Linked DNA regions of Schizosaccharomyces pombe. Changing the gene in region 1 together with any one later gene gives a genetic interaction. Each region holds a gene or a part of one and is shown in the gene's direction. Other genes may lie near its edges.

Region 1 (8,700 bases):
GATCGGTAGTTTCTAGCGTTGAGGCTTTACGGAGGGCTTGCTCAAAGTCAAGCAACAAGTCATAAACTTTCTCAATAGCGTGCAATACATCCTTCTTCGTAGAAAATCCAGAAAAATTGTTTAATGATGAATTTGAAGATGCTGGTTCGGTAGGACGTTTAACATTCAACAATTGTCGTGGTGTGCGAACAGTATTAACAGCAATTTTACCAAGAGCACCTTCTAAAGACAACTGAGTTGCCTTAGGGCGCTCTTTGGCAGAAGAAACCAAACGCTGAAGTTGCTGTTGTAATTTCTGCATAGGATTTTCGGAGCGACGACCACGACGGCGATTATTGCTAGGTCCTAGATAAGTCTGTATAAAATGACTGGCTTCTTCCTCGGAAGGCTTGCGGCCTCGAATAATTGAGTAAACGCGATAATAAAAATCATCAGATTCGGGATCCTCCGACATCAATTGCGATATTTGAATTCTCGCAATAAACGATTTATCACTGCGTGTCATTAACCCAGCACATTGAGCCATGAGCATATGATCACGCTCTAACTTTTGACGTTTTTCATCAAGGTTCTGGTTTTGAATTAATTGTTCCTGCTGGAAAAGATTAACAAGGGAAGCAGGAGGAGCAACACTTGGGTTGTACATGCCGTTTTGAGGATATGGCATTTGAGGTACAAGGGAAGGTTGCATAACAGGATTGGGTATAGCTTGCGAAGGATGTACCATATTAGGAGCAGCTAATCCAGCAAAATCAGTTGTAGTGCTAGGGATGTTTGGTTGACCAAAAGTAACATTACCAATACTAGCCGCACTAATCGCCGGGTCCAATGAAGAGATGTTTTCTCGAGTTACTTGAGCAGCCATTTCGGATGGAACAATGGGAATAGCGGGTTGAGAAGGTGGTTTTGGAGCGGTCATTGAGTTCAATAACTGTTCCTCCAACTCCTGCAAGCTAAAAACCTTCTCAGATGGTTGGGCACCCAAACGATCTTGAAGAGAGGCTACCTCAGGTGGAATAATAGCCGGCTTTTCTGGAACAATATTTTCCCAAATCGAAGCCATAGGCTGCAAATCGGAAAGCTTATTGATCGCAGTAGACGCAGGTTCCCGTGAAGGAAATTGTGAAGCACCATTAAGTCTACTAACTTGAGGTAACTCTGAAGAAGCTGGTTTGACAGGTTTAGCGAAAATATTTTGTTGATTAATTTGGTACTGCTCATCTTCCAATTGTGCAGATGCTTGAGCGGTAGTACCTGAAAAATCAAAATCACGTCCTAGAATTGTGAGAAAAAATATTAAAATATTAAATACTAATAGCTTGCAATATCCCAGATATGACAGCCGAGAATGATTACAGAATCACAAGCACAAAGGTACATACCTATACTTCCAGCGCTAACACCAAAAGTCTCGTCGTTTAGTTCATCTCCGGCTTCATTTAATTGATTACCCAAATCGTCGTAGGTCTCCTCAAAGTCAATGCTAAATATACTTGTGAGCTTAAAGTATCATATTTACATTAATATTAACGACTTACCCATCCTCTTCTAACTGCCCTTCGTTAGGAAACATATTTTCCTTTGGAAGGGTAGTATTAAACCCAAAAAATGACATTTTATGGGTTTATGGTAATGAGAAGTTGGTGGTAGCTAGGTGGGCGGCACTGCATACAACAATACTCATGACAGTAGATTGGGTTGGTTCGACGCAGACTGATTCATGGCGTTTTATATATATTTTTACTTTGCGTTCTTTTTTTATATCTGAATTTTAAAGTTGTTATTTGGTTTGCTATACCAGTAAATCTATCCCTATTTTATTTCACATCAATCTTCAAGACTAGCTATTAAAACCTATCACGTATAGATGTATATCATAAATATGAATTTAAATTTATCTCTTTTTGAAAGACTGAAATGTATCGAAATTTATGCATGAACATACATAAGTTGCTTGCTCAAGCAAGCTACATCAATCTGGCAATGCAGTATAGAAAAAAAGAAATATCTACTAAATTTAACTACTTTACATCATAAATTCAGTGACACTCAAATTGGTAAAAATTAATTTTAAATTATCGTAACATGTAGAGATAAAGGAAATTATTTGGAAGACGATGAATCATTCCAGATCAATTGATCAAATGCCTCCTGTTCGTGAGAAATAGGTTCATCCAACTGTTCAGAGCCTAGATTAGAAGTTCGGGAAGGAAATGCTTCAGAATTTTCTTGTCCACTAAAAGCACTATCTGTGGATTTAACACTCGAGTCTTCTTCGTAAAATGGAAAAGAATTGTTACCGGTATTTCGATTACGGTTACGAATAGCTTCCCATGCTGACGCTGGCTTTGATCGATCTTCAAAGCCATTGTCTTTAGAGTACATGGCGTCCTCTTTCTCCGTACTCTGTGAATTCGTAAAGGGATCTTGACTAGAAGAGGCACCAGTATTCGGCATACTTCCAGGTAATTGATATTTTGAGTTTTTTGGAGGGAATTCAGAAGATGAAGAAGGAAATCTGCCTTGTCGCATCGTTGTTCTTTGTCGAATAAGGGAGTCTTGTATTTTGCGAAGTATTTCAAAGCCATCATCTCTTTGACGTATAGCCGACAAATTGTATGCCAGAGTAGTAATCTGAGCAACCTATTCATAATTTGTAAGCTTGAGCTTAGTATTACTTAAAACTTACCCCATTTCCAGCAAGACCTCCTATAATTGATGTTGCATACAAGCGGATTGGAGTAACCTTTTTGTTACGAGCTAAAAAATAAGAAAGTTATTTTCAATTGCTTGTTCGAAATCTCATACCTAAGTATAATGGGAGAGAAAACCCGACTAGCATCCCAAAAATCGTATTTCTTTTGACACGGTATTTTGCATGATTTAGAAATTCCTTTTGGTCATCACTGAAATGGTTTTGAGGATCATTTAACATTCGTTCCCAAAAAAAATCCATGATAATAAACGTTGGAAGCGATTCCTGAGGCTACACAATAATGTCAAGAATATGAAACGTGCTTATACGGGTTATGTTAGCGAAATAAATGTAATTAAATTATTTGCGGACTGTACAATTTAACCCAATATATAAAAATTTGAGGCCTTTCTAATGTAAAAATACTACTACTAAAAGGTAATAGTACTCATCACTTGTTGCCTTATGGATAGTTTGGATACTGATGTAAGAGGATGTGAATAAGGAGAATCTCTAGGGATTAGGACCATCTAAATTTCCCAGCTACTACAGTGATACTTGGCATGAATAAGAAATACGTATCTGAATAAAAATTTGACACACAAGATTGTTCTGTTGAAATTTCTTATGAAACTGATAGACTGAATTTTTTTTGGCTGGTAAGCACTTGTGATGAAATATGCAACTTTTTCGAACTACGTTTTACATTCCATCTTTCAATGAAACAGACCTTGGTGGCATCAATTCGTGGTATACGATTGTTTTGAATTTTAATATTGCAAGCATATATGTTCAACAGGAATTTCCCAGTTGTTAAATAAGTCTATATCGTATAATTCTTTGTCATTAACCGTATTTATTCATTTTGAACTAATTTAGCACAGAATTCTATCTCGTAAATTAAACAAGCGCCACTGCATTTTACACAGCTAACGAAAAATACAAGAAGGCAATTGAGAAATAGAGAAATAGATGCAATACAGACTTGGTCTTTTTTTTTAAAAAGTTTTGCCAATTTAGACGGATTTTGTATCTAATATGTAGGAACTACTAGTAGTAGTTACAGCTTATTCATTAGTTAATAATGTCCAGATATCGCTTCTACAAAGGAATGAAATGTTGATAAAATTAGTAAAGAAATACAACGATATAATGGTATTTAACACATCTGGCTTATTGGAATTCGTTAATAAAAATAACGAACGCCAATGAAGTGAAATATGCAAGAGATTTTTTATTACGAGTCAATTAAATATACGCTGTCCTAATCAATTGACACACAAATACCTGAAAACTCGCATTTGGTTGTTACTTTGCCTGCATTGGAAGGATATATTTTAAAAAACCTTGTAGTAAAGAAGAATTGGAACTTTTGATGCAAGATTTACTATTCGGTAGTCACTGGATATCGTTGCTCCTTGGATTTGTTTAGCAATCGATTAATCAGACTGCTTCTCACCTATAGTTTGTATTTTCTTTGATCAATTGAAAAACTACGATTTCCAAGAAAATGTCAAAACGATCCTTAGACCCTAGTGATGATTTTAAGGGTCAAAAACGCTTAGCGATTGATCCAGAATCAACTGCCCTCGAACAAGATCGCCAAATGTTACAACAATTATCAGAACAAAATTCTGAACTCGAGCCTCAAAATGTTGCACCAAATGCAGAAATTCCTTTAGGGTTTGATCTTTCCGGAATTCAATTTAATATGACGCCGGACTTTTATTTACGCATGAATCAAGGCATGGATTACGCTTTCAACCAACCTAATCCTATTGCTACACCTCAGCAACTTCTTCGTACATCTCTTATTCCTACTCTTGGTAACCTTAGTAACATAATTTTGTCAATTCTTGGGAAGCCAGTACAAGAGGCATCTGCCATTGTCACTAATCCAGCCTCCGAAATGGGTATGGCCTTTACCAAAGTAATGAATATGTTTCGTATGGTAAAGGACATTTATACTGAAGAATCTTTTATTTATTCCTCTGCCATTGGTATGAGGACGCCGAGTCAAAGAAGTACGACTAGACGCGCAAATCTTGCTATCTTTCTGGCAGCTGTCTATGGAGCGCTACAAATTGGATTTTTTCATTTGAATGAAAATTTTCTGGAGGTTTTTGCTCCGGACGAATCTAATATCCTCACTAATCAGGGCACTCTTTATATGGAACTCAAAACCCAAGCATATATTTCGGCTATGGCTCAGGCAGAACGTCCCAAGGGAGACATATTAAACGATCTTTTTCCCTCTGACATGGCCCATCGATTTCTTATCCGACGAAATGCTAAGCTGGATGACAAACTTACTTATGTTGAAAAGCAAATCATAGAGAAATGTACGGCTAGAAAAGAAAGATTGGCAAACTTCTCCCCACAGGAAGCTTTAAATGAAGTATATCCATGGGGGAAATTTTTAAGCGAGATTGCTTGTTACATCCATAACAATTACTCGTCTATTTCGGCCATTCCAATTCCTGCTAACTCATTCAAACGACGATCCAAGAAGAACGGATTGAGGTTTAAGGCTGGCGAAGCCGAATCATCCCCTTCAGAATCTGGTTCAGACCTGACCGATAGTCTCGCATTTGGTATACCATCTTCAACTTTTGACGGCTCCTCGGAAACACAAAATGTATCCAGTGTCGTTCTTTATGATCAGGTTCGACATATGACAAATAATAACCTAAATAACAAGCGTACGAGGCGCGTAGCCAATCGTCGATCTTGGACAAAAGAGGAAGAGGAAGCATTGCTTGATGGTCTTGATTTAGTAAAAGGTCCCCGGTGGAGCCAAATTTTGGAGCTTTATGGTCCTGGAGGCAAAAAGAGTGAAGTTTTGAAATATCGCAATCAAGTTCAGTTGAAAGATAAGGCTCGCAATATGAAACTATTTTTTCTCAAAAGTGGTCAGGTGGTCCCCGCAGCATTACAATGTGTTACAGGCGATCTTCGGCGAGATTAAGTAGTATCAGGAGTTTATTTCATTCTTGATTAAGTTTGCGATTTTTTTTTAAATACTAAAACGATTAAGCGTGAGGCATTTTATGTATAAATTATAATTATTATTAATCTATGGGTTTTTTGGTGCTAATACTCGGAGGCTATTCATTACAATTGAACATTCCCGTGTATCTTTATTTACAATTTCGGAGGATGACCTGGCAATAGCTTGTTCCACAATATGCGTAACTCGCTGAAAATCGCTTCGGAATACCCGCAAGAGTATTGGATCACGGCGATCAAGCATTTGCATTTTGCTGCTGATAGAAATTGCCAGCTCTTTGAAAAAATAGATACAAATAGTTGCACCATCAAGGATAAAATTTGGTTGCATTTGAAAATATTCTAATAAATTTGGGTAGTCTGGATTACAAATATTAGCCTTTTGAAGTGACCTTTCCCAAAAGACGCATTGTGCACCAATCTTTGAAATTTGGTACCACCCGTCTTCAAATTTGGACCATATAGTAGAATTTGCCGCTGAAGGATCTGTACTGTTATGTAGGAGTCTTCGTGTAGTGGGGGACAGTTGGAAAATCGAGTCGAATTGTATAATGGCCTTCTGTATACGAGAACTTAAAAGACGAGTTAAGTCCTGTTCTAACAAATATTTGTCTAACATATATAAAACAGAGCAAGCATTTGTAAAACCATTAGAGTTCACACTGAAAGAAAGTTGATCTTCTTGTGATAATAGATAGCTGGATGTTTCTTTTATAATTCTCGATCGATTGGTTATATTAAGTTTTAAGAGTAAAGAAACGGACGATTGTCTTTTCTACAATAATTAGCCAAGAAACAGAAAATATATTTCATACCATTAATGGAAACCGGCTTAATAATTGATCAGACTCTTGTAATAGTAAAGATGCTTGATAATAGCGTGAAAGTCTTGAATTTGTTAGCATACCAAAATCATTGAGCAAAACAATAAGCATACTTTTCATTTTCATTAATCGATCCCTGGAAAAGGGGAAATAACTTTGCTTGTATGCCAAAAAACTCCCCAAGCCAATACAAAGTCATGTATGTTGAATGCAAATTTACAATTGCCTCATGAAGGGGACCCAAATTTTCAGATGGAATGACTACCAGCGAACGAATTCTTTCATAAACCAACATCAATTGTTCTAGTTTTCCCTCGATATCTTGCAAATATGACTGAGCATTCAAAGAACTAGATACATTTTTCGTCAACGTGGTTTCCTCATGCACAATCAAATCGGTAATTTGCCGCTCTACTTCTTTGAGTGCATACCCCAACCTCTTTCTGGCGACTTCTTTGTCTTCGTTAACATCGGAGTCAGCATGAACAGAGATTAACACTCGTTCAGCCTGCGCCTTTGGATCGAAATCTGATTTTTTGTAATCTGAAAAATCATATCGAAACTCCATAACAGGAATTTTAAGCGCTTTAAACGAAATTTTTACAAGCTATTTCATAGATTTTAATGATACTTAACTTTAGTTTATTTGACGATCAATCGTAAAACGCAGAATCGATACCAAATCTTACAACGAATGTTTTGAACAAGTAAAATCCGCAATTGAACAGTGTATTCTAGCACTTCTATTCGAAACACGATAACACTACAACTTTATCCTGCAAGTATACGCTTACTTCGTCTGGTGCAACTAATGTAGTATATGAGAGCGTATACCTTAGACACTTTGACCGACTATTGTAAGTAACATGCTACTCATTCATATTCTAAAGAACAAAGAAAGAGATTTTCAAATAGAAGATTGAAAAACTTATCAATTTGAACGTTGAATTTTATCGAACCACGAAGGCTTTTAAAATTCCAACTGAAATCCGCGGCTCTAAGAGTTAGTATGGTTTCAACATACTCCTCAAGTAAACATTCGTCAGGCAGTTACAGTTTTCAAACAAAGTGACTAAAAATGCAGTAAATGTATATATAAACTACTAAAATGTAATACGAATTCATATCTTTGCTCTCAAATAAAGCAAATTTAAATTTATTGGAGTTAACGAAGAGATTAACTTACAAATTGCTATAGGAAATTGACTAAGAATATACTTGAAAAATATGCTGTAGTTTGTCTAAAAAAAATTTTACTGTGGGTATTTAATTCAAAATTTGAAGTTTCAATAAATCTCGAGAATAACAGTAATAATTTGAATTCCAAAGGAAAGAGTAAATTGAATAAAGTAGTACGCAATATATCTCAAAATTGCTATAGGGTAGCTTTCCTGAAAATAGGGCATCATTTAACGAACTTAACCGCAGACTGACTTTATTGTGAAGCTATAGCTATCACTCACTCTAGATTTTGCAACCCATCAAATAGACAGAATTTAAGAGCCAAGCTTCCCTTGTAAAAGAATTGCAAAATCGCTATGGCATTTTCTTTTGGTATGCTTTGAGATTCATCAGTTATAAGTTGCTAACGACTGTAGGTCAACAAGGGTCGTCAATAAAGGCACCTTCCATTGGCTCAACTGGCGTTTTTGGCCAGTCGAATACCACAAAACCAACTGCACCTTTCGGTTCTGGATCTATTTTTGGGTCCACAAACACTAATGTAGGTGCAGGAGGCCCTACTGGTTCTTCGTCAGCTCCACCGTTTGGAAATTCAATTTTCGGTAAAACACAACAACAGCCGACCACTTCTTTCTCCAATACTACCACCAATGCCCCACAAAGTACTGTATTTGGCCAAAACGCTGCATCAAGAACCGGCAACTCAAATACGCAACCATTATTTTCGTGGAGTACAGTCAACAATCCCACAAAACCAGTAGACGAAACCAATGCTACGATCCCTAGCAGCTTATTGCTGTCTTCAGGTATATCCCCAAATGCGACCGTGAGCAATGCTCAATATGGCCCTGCTCAACCTCCGTCCGTGGAGGAGCAAGTGCAGAAAATCTTGAATGCATGGAATCTCAACCATCCTGATTGTGCTTTTCAGCGGTTCTTTTATAACAAGGTTCCTGTTGAGCAAGCTGCACTATATGTTAAGCCTCCAAA
Region 2 (5,904 bases), on another chromosome or scaffold:
TCGTCTTGAGAAAATATTCACCGAACTCCTAATTTACTGTCAATTGGCTTTTGTTTCTTGAACTAAGGCTATTGTAGTCGTGTTTGTGATACATCCGTTGGAACGGAAGTTGGTATAGTTTGGCAGCATTGCGCACTATGCCGTATATTAACAACTTTTTGGTTGGACCAATTGGTCTAGGATTAAAAAGTCTTACATGGACTGAGAATCCTGTTCCTGATGAAGAAGCGTTTCGAATTATGAACTATGCACTAAGTCATGGATGCAGTTTTTGGGACGCAGGTGAATTTTATGGGCTTTCTGAACCATTAGCCAATTTGCAACTTCTTTCAAGGTACTTTCAAAAGTTTCCCGATAGTATAGATAAGGTGTTCTTGTCAGTCAAAGGTGCGTTTGATCCTGAAACTCACCGAGTTCACGGGACACGAGAATGTATTACCAAAAGCATCAAAACTGTCCGAGAGACTCTCAAAAAAGTAAAGACTATTGATCTTTACCAATGTGCTGCAATTGATCCTGACACACCTATTGAGGAGACGATGGCTTGTTTGAAGGAGTTTGTAGATTCTGGTGACATTCGATGTATCGGTCTTTGTGAACCCTCTGTTGAGGAAATCAAGCGTGCTCATTCTGTTGTGCGGATTGCTGCAATTGAGGTCCATTATTCAATGCTCTTTCGCGAGATTGAATATAATGGGGTAAAAAAACTATGCCATGACTTGTCCATTCCTCTTGTAGCTCATTCCCCGTTGGCTCATGGTTTGCTAACAGGTCGTGTAACTACAATGGCGGACATTGAAAATTTAAAGAAGCATCATCAATGTAATGAGCAGCCTCCCTCAAGCACGTTTAGTTCGACTCTTCCTTGTATACAAGCATTGAAGGAGCTAGCTTCAAAATATGACATGTCGTTAGCAGAATTGGCCTTGAGTTTTATTTTGTCAGCCGGAAGGGGTAGAATTCTTCCCATACCATCGGCGACTAGTTATGATCTCATTGAAGCAAGCTTGGGATCATTTTCCAAGGTTTTAGATACATACCAATTTGCTGAAGTTGTTAGCTGCCTAGAAAAGACTTTACCGCCTCCAGCGTCTCCTAATTCAGAACCTCAAGTGACAGGAGGCTGTTCTAGTATGTGTTGAAAGTTAAAACCATAAACAGCACATAGCCACTGCTGCTTTGCTCAGGTTTTGTTAGGTTTGTGAAGATATTAGTAAATTTTGCTTGTTTCATATGATGCAAAGAGCAACAAAAGTTTGTGAGATGATATTGAAAGAGAGATTTGTTCTTCTATACTTATAAAACGGGAATGTGCCCGGATGTGCTTCATTTAATGAGAAGAACTGAAGAGTAACTGTTGGTGGATACGCCGTTTTAACTACTGTCAACGATCCTTTCATTTTCTATTAGTGTCATAACTTGCAAACAAAAGCGTTTCTTTTTCTTTTAAACTTCAACATTTTCGTTCTCTTGCAAATTTCTTACTACATTTCAATTTAATTGGGATTGTTGACTCGCAACACTCATTCCAAATTTCGAAATTTCTCTTTCTATGTATGTCTTATTAAAAAATTTCCTTTTCTTATATCACATCTTGTTTTTCTGTATATAACGCTATACCGACTTTTGTTTAGAAATGATATATCCATTTTTACTCTATACTGAGGTTTTATTTTTTTAATAGCATAGTAAACATCGTTTTAATAAACAGATTAATTTTTTAAGATCTAGCTATGTAGTCTTGCTCTTAGCGAAGGGTTTGTATAACAACATCAGATAAGCTCATTTAAAGTGACATTAGCACTAGCAAATTAGACATTCAATCTCTGCCAAGTTTTGCTAATTATTAGTTTAACAATTGAATTTTTTGGTAATTGACGGTGAAATATTATATTAAACATCCTGCGCCTTCATCGAGACCCAGCATATATAACCGACGTGACATTTCCACACATCTTAACAATTGCCGCACAAGTAATCATTTTTGAACAAGATGGTTTCCGATAGCAAATTGGAGCTTCCATTACCTGTAAACCAACAAAAACCTCGTAGAAGACGAATTTTAAAGGTTCATCTTTTAATTGCGGCTTTGATTCTGAGTGCGGTTGGCTATTTAGGCAAAGGCAAATGGATTTGGACTCCTGAACGAAAGGCTCACTTTGTACTAACTCATTTTCCTTTAATTGATGGGCATAATGATCTTCCAATATATCTTCGTGAAAATTATGATAATCGCCTTCTAAATATTTCGCTTGAGCACCTTCCTGGACAAACTGACATTTTTCGTCTTCGTCAAGGACATGTAGGGGGTCAATTCTGGTCTGTATTTGTCGAATGTCCTAGCTTGGATTCCAATAGTTCTCTTTCGTGGAATCGCACAGGTGAATATGAAGCTGTTACACAGACTCTTCAACAAATCGATGTTGTTAAAAGGATGGCTCTATACTACCCTAAAACATTCTCTTTGACTGATCATAGCGGTAAGGTCAAATTCGACTTTTTACGCAATCACATTTCAAGTATGATGGGCATTGAAGGTCTTCACCAGATTGCAGGAAGCCCATCCATTTTACGCCAATTCTACGATCTTGGCGTTCGCTATGCTACTCTTGCGCACAATTGTGACAACGTATTCGCCGATGCTGCGGTTGACGGAAAGCGTACTAACAAAGGATTGTCTCCTGCGGGCCGCGATATTGTCCGTGAAATGAATCGTCTTGGTATGATTGTAGATCTTTCACACACCACACCTGAGACCATGCATCAAGCCTTAGATGTATCAGTTGCTCCCGCATTTTTCTCACATAGTTCCGCTAAAGGGGTTTATGATCATCCCAGAAATGTTCCTGACGATGTTCTGATTCGCGTCAAGGAAACTGATGGCGTTGTTATGGTGAATTTTTACCCTGCATTCATTAGTCCACACCCTGAAAATGCTACAATTGATACCGTCGTTGAGCATATAATGCATATTGCCAATGTAACTGGATCGTATCGTCATATTGGCTTGGGTGGTGATTTCGATGGAATTGATATGGTGCCCAAGGGACTCGAGGATGTTTCCAAGTATCCTGATCTTTTTGTTAAATTGGCTGAGCGTGGTCTCAGTATCACTGAATTAGCAGATATTGCAGGCCGTAATGTGCTTCGTGTTTGGAAGACCACTGAAGATCTCGGGCATTCAATTCATGAGCCACCTTTGGAGTGGGAAGACGACTTTTAAACTTAATCGTTTATTAATAAGTCTACCTCTACCTCTTTATTTTATTTTTGGAAAAATTTACTGTATTATTCCATTTTGCCGGTTATGAATTTCTTACGATTAACGACAAACCATGCCTATTGCTTACTCTTTTATGCCCCTTGATGGATCGATTATTTTACTATTAGTTAACTAGCTCTCTTAGTTAATGTAATAAATTTTTGTTTGCTTTGAGATTATTTTCCACAGTATAATTTTTACGCATGTGTCCAATAATATAAAAAAGAAAAAGGAGAGTTAGTTATCCGATATGTGTTCATTAATTGGCAAATGCGAGACATAGAAAAACTCGATAAAAGACTGATGAAATTTGATTTTAACAGCACCCATAGACCCTTCAATCATCAAATAAATAAAAGAAACCACTGCATTAGCAAACATATTTTTTTAATAAATAAAAAATAACACACTTTTGAAAATCAGTTATGAATAAGCATTAAACGATCCCCTTCGATATGAAGAATGTGACCTCCTACGGTTATTATTCCCAGGCACGGGTAAGTTCCAAAAATCGAATATTTGGCCTATGCTGAGCTTCATTATCTTCTTCAACCGGAGAACCCTCACTGCTAACTGCGGCAGAAGGAGCACGCGATGGTCGACGACTGCGCGATTCGGAAACATTGTCAGATAAGAGTCCATTTCTCGTATCACTACTGCTTTCATTGTTCTCGTTGTAAAATGGAACTATACCAGGCCTGGGTATGTTATCATCCTCACTTTCACTGTCCCCAATATTAGTAAGAACTTGTTCACGACGACGGCGTTCTACACTATTTTCACGCAAATGAGATTCCGAATTTTGCCTTGAGTATCTAGGCCTATGATTCTCAATAGAACTCTCAATATGTCCAAGAGTGGGTTCCCTTTGTCTTTCGTCGTCCGGCTCATGTAAATTACGTTGAAAAGTATCATAGGAACGTCGTAAGAAACTGCGAAACTTGCGACCAAAACTTTTTGCCTTCGGATCCCCTTGAGCGAGTTTTTCATCAATTGAAGGTCCATTTGCATCTCGAGAACTGGTATGCGAAATAATGTTTCCTTGAGAATCTTCAACGACCAAGTCTTCGCCAATAAGATATGTCTCGTCACCAGGATTCATTTCTTCTTCTCTATCTTCCTCATTCGAGCGGCGAGGTTGCCGAGATTCATAGTCTTCAGAAGGAAATTCTTCAGCGTCATAGTGGCCTCCGCGTGGTGATTCAGCACGTTCTTCCCGTAGATGTGCGGCTTCAGGAAGCGAGACAGTTGATATATCAGCATCCTCATCTTCTTGAATGTTTACAGGATGACGCCTTCTTATGGAAGAAGCAATAGAGTTGGCAGAGGAGCGCAACGCATCAACTCTTTTAATTGGTAAGCTTTGTCCTTGACGAACACGAGGTAAGTTAAAAGCAAAATGAGAGTCCCTTGTTCTCGTAAACGACAAAGCCAACGTATTAATCCTTTTACCAAGCATGAAAAATGCAATACTGCTTCCATGAACAATGATAGAACTTAGAACCAGGAAACAAACTACTGGCCACATTACTTGTATGCAATACCAGTTTGGAATTTCAGGGTTTTCGATAGCATCATTAGGCTCAGGTACAGTGCTATGTACTTCTAATTCGGCTCGTGCAACCAAACAAGTATACAGTGCACCTACACCAATAGGACCAAAATGACCAGCAAAGAGAGCTTCTCGCCAATTGATAATATCAGGAACAAATGATTTAAATAATAAAACGGCAGGAATTCTCCTTGCAATTAAAATACATATAGCCAATACAACGAGTCGCCATACACTCAAATCCATATGTGGCATGTGAAATTGAGGCCAGGGCATGATAGCACCCACGTATACAAAAAAGGAAAGATTGAGAAGAAGGTCGATAACGTTGGAAACATGAGATTCTTCTGTTTTTTTCGAAAACCATGAGTCCCAAGAGAAAGCAGCACCAGCACAAAAAGAAACTAACAAATCATCGACACCAATGATGGTACCAATACCACCACAAAATAGTGCTAAAACGAAGTAGAATACAAGAAAACTTTCACGATCCATTAATCCTCGACGTTCCGAAAATTTAATCATCTTACGGGCTATTACACCTATTATTGCACCTAGCACACAGCCAAAGGTGCATTCGTATAAAATAATGATACATACCCAATCGCGGCCAGCATGTCGGGCAGGTTTCTCAATAATTAAATAAATAGCTAAATACAGAAAAGGAATTGCCATGCCATCATTACATCCAGATTCGGCCAAAAGCATGTTCCTAAGATGACCTGGGACTCGACGTGCAAATTTACCTTTACCGACAATAGAAGAAGCCAACACTGGATCTGTCGCAGTAATACATGCCGCTATAGCTAATGACTCCAGAAAAGAGAGTCTGGGAATTAAAGCATACATGAAGCCAGTACTTACTAGCCATCCAAAAATCATAACAGGCAAAAGCATAACAAACATACTGCGCCAATGTCGAAGCATATATGCTCTTGGAAGTTCAGCGCCAGCTGCAAAAACTTCGACAACTAAAAGGACTCGAGCAAGTTCCTCGGTGATGTAGTCGGTATTACCCCAGCTGGTGGGAACAAACAGTTTTGCAACGTAAGGACCAAAAATGAGACCCGTAGCAGTTGCCATAGCTATA

The links. Genes that interact genetically often act in the same process or in processes that back each other up.
Region 2: mutations in tbf1 (region 1) and dpe1 together harm fitness less than expected from each alone (positive genetic interaction), as found in Schizosaccharomyces pombe (one large-scale study listed by BioGRID).

The regions. Positions count from the first base shown.
Region 1 is NC_003423.3:2,369,969-2,378,668, forward strand, and holds tbf1 (DNA-binding factor Trf1), read left to right. Parts: upstream 1-3,956; 5' UTR 3,957-4,205; coding exon 4,206-5,663; 3' UTR 5,664-5,771; coding exon of another isoform or gene 5,772-6,479; 3' UTR 6,480-6,519; downstream 6,520-8,700. Other genes in the region: pdc2 (topoisomerase II-associated deadenylation-dependent mRNA-decapping factor), read right to left, coding at 1-1,275, 1,383-1,483, 1,539-1,615; SPOM_SPBC19G7.18C (uncharacterized protein), read right to left, coding at 2,104-2,643, 2,690-2,760, 2,809-2,956; COG complex subunit Cog5, read right to left, coding at 5,772-6,479, 6,520-6,592, 6,642-7,096; nucleoporin Nup44, read left to right, coding at 8,067-8,082, 8,127-8,700. UniProt on the Schizosaccharomyces pombe protein: Binds the telomeric double-stranded TTACAGG repeat and regulates telomere length.
Region 2 is NC_003424.3:3,446,371-3,452,274, forward strand, and holds dpe1 (dipeptidyl peptidase), read left to right. Parts: upstream 1-1,958; 5' UTR 1,959-1,993; coding exon 1,994-3,223; 3' UTR 3,224-3,485; downstream 3,486-5,904. Other genes in the region: SPOM_SPAC3A11.11C (pyridoxal reductase), read left to right, coding at 138-1,142.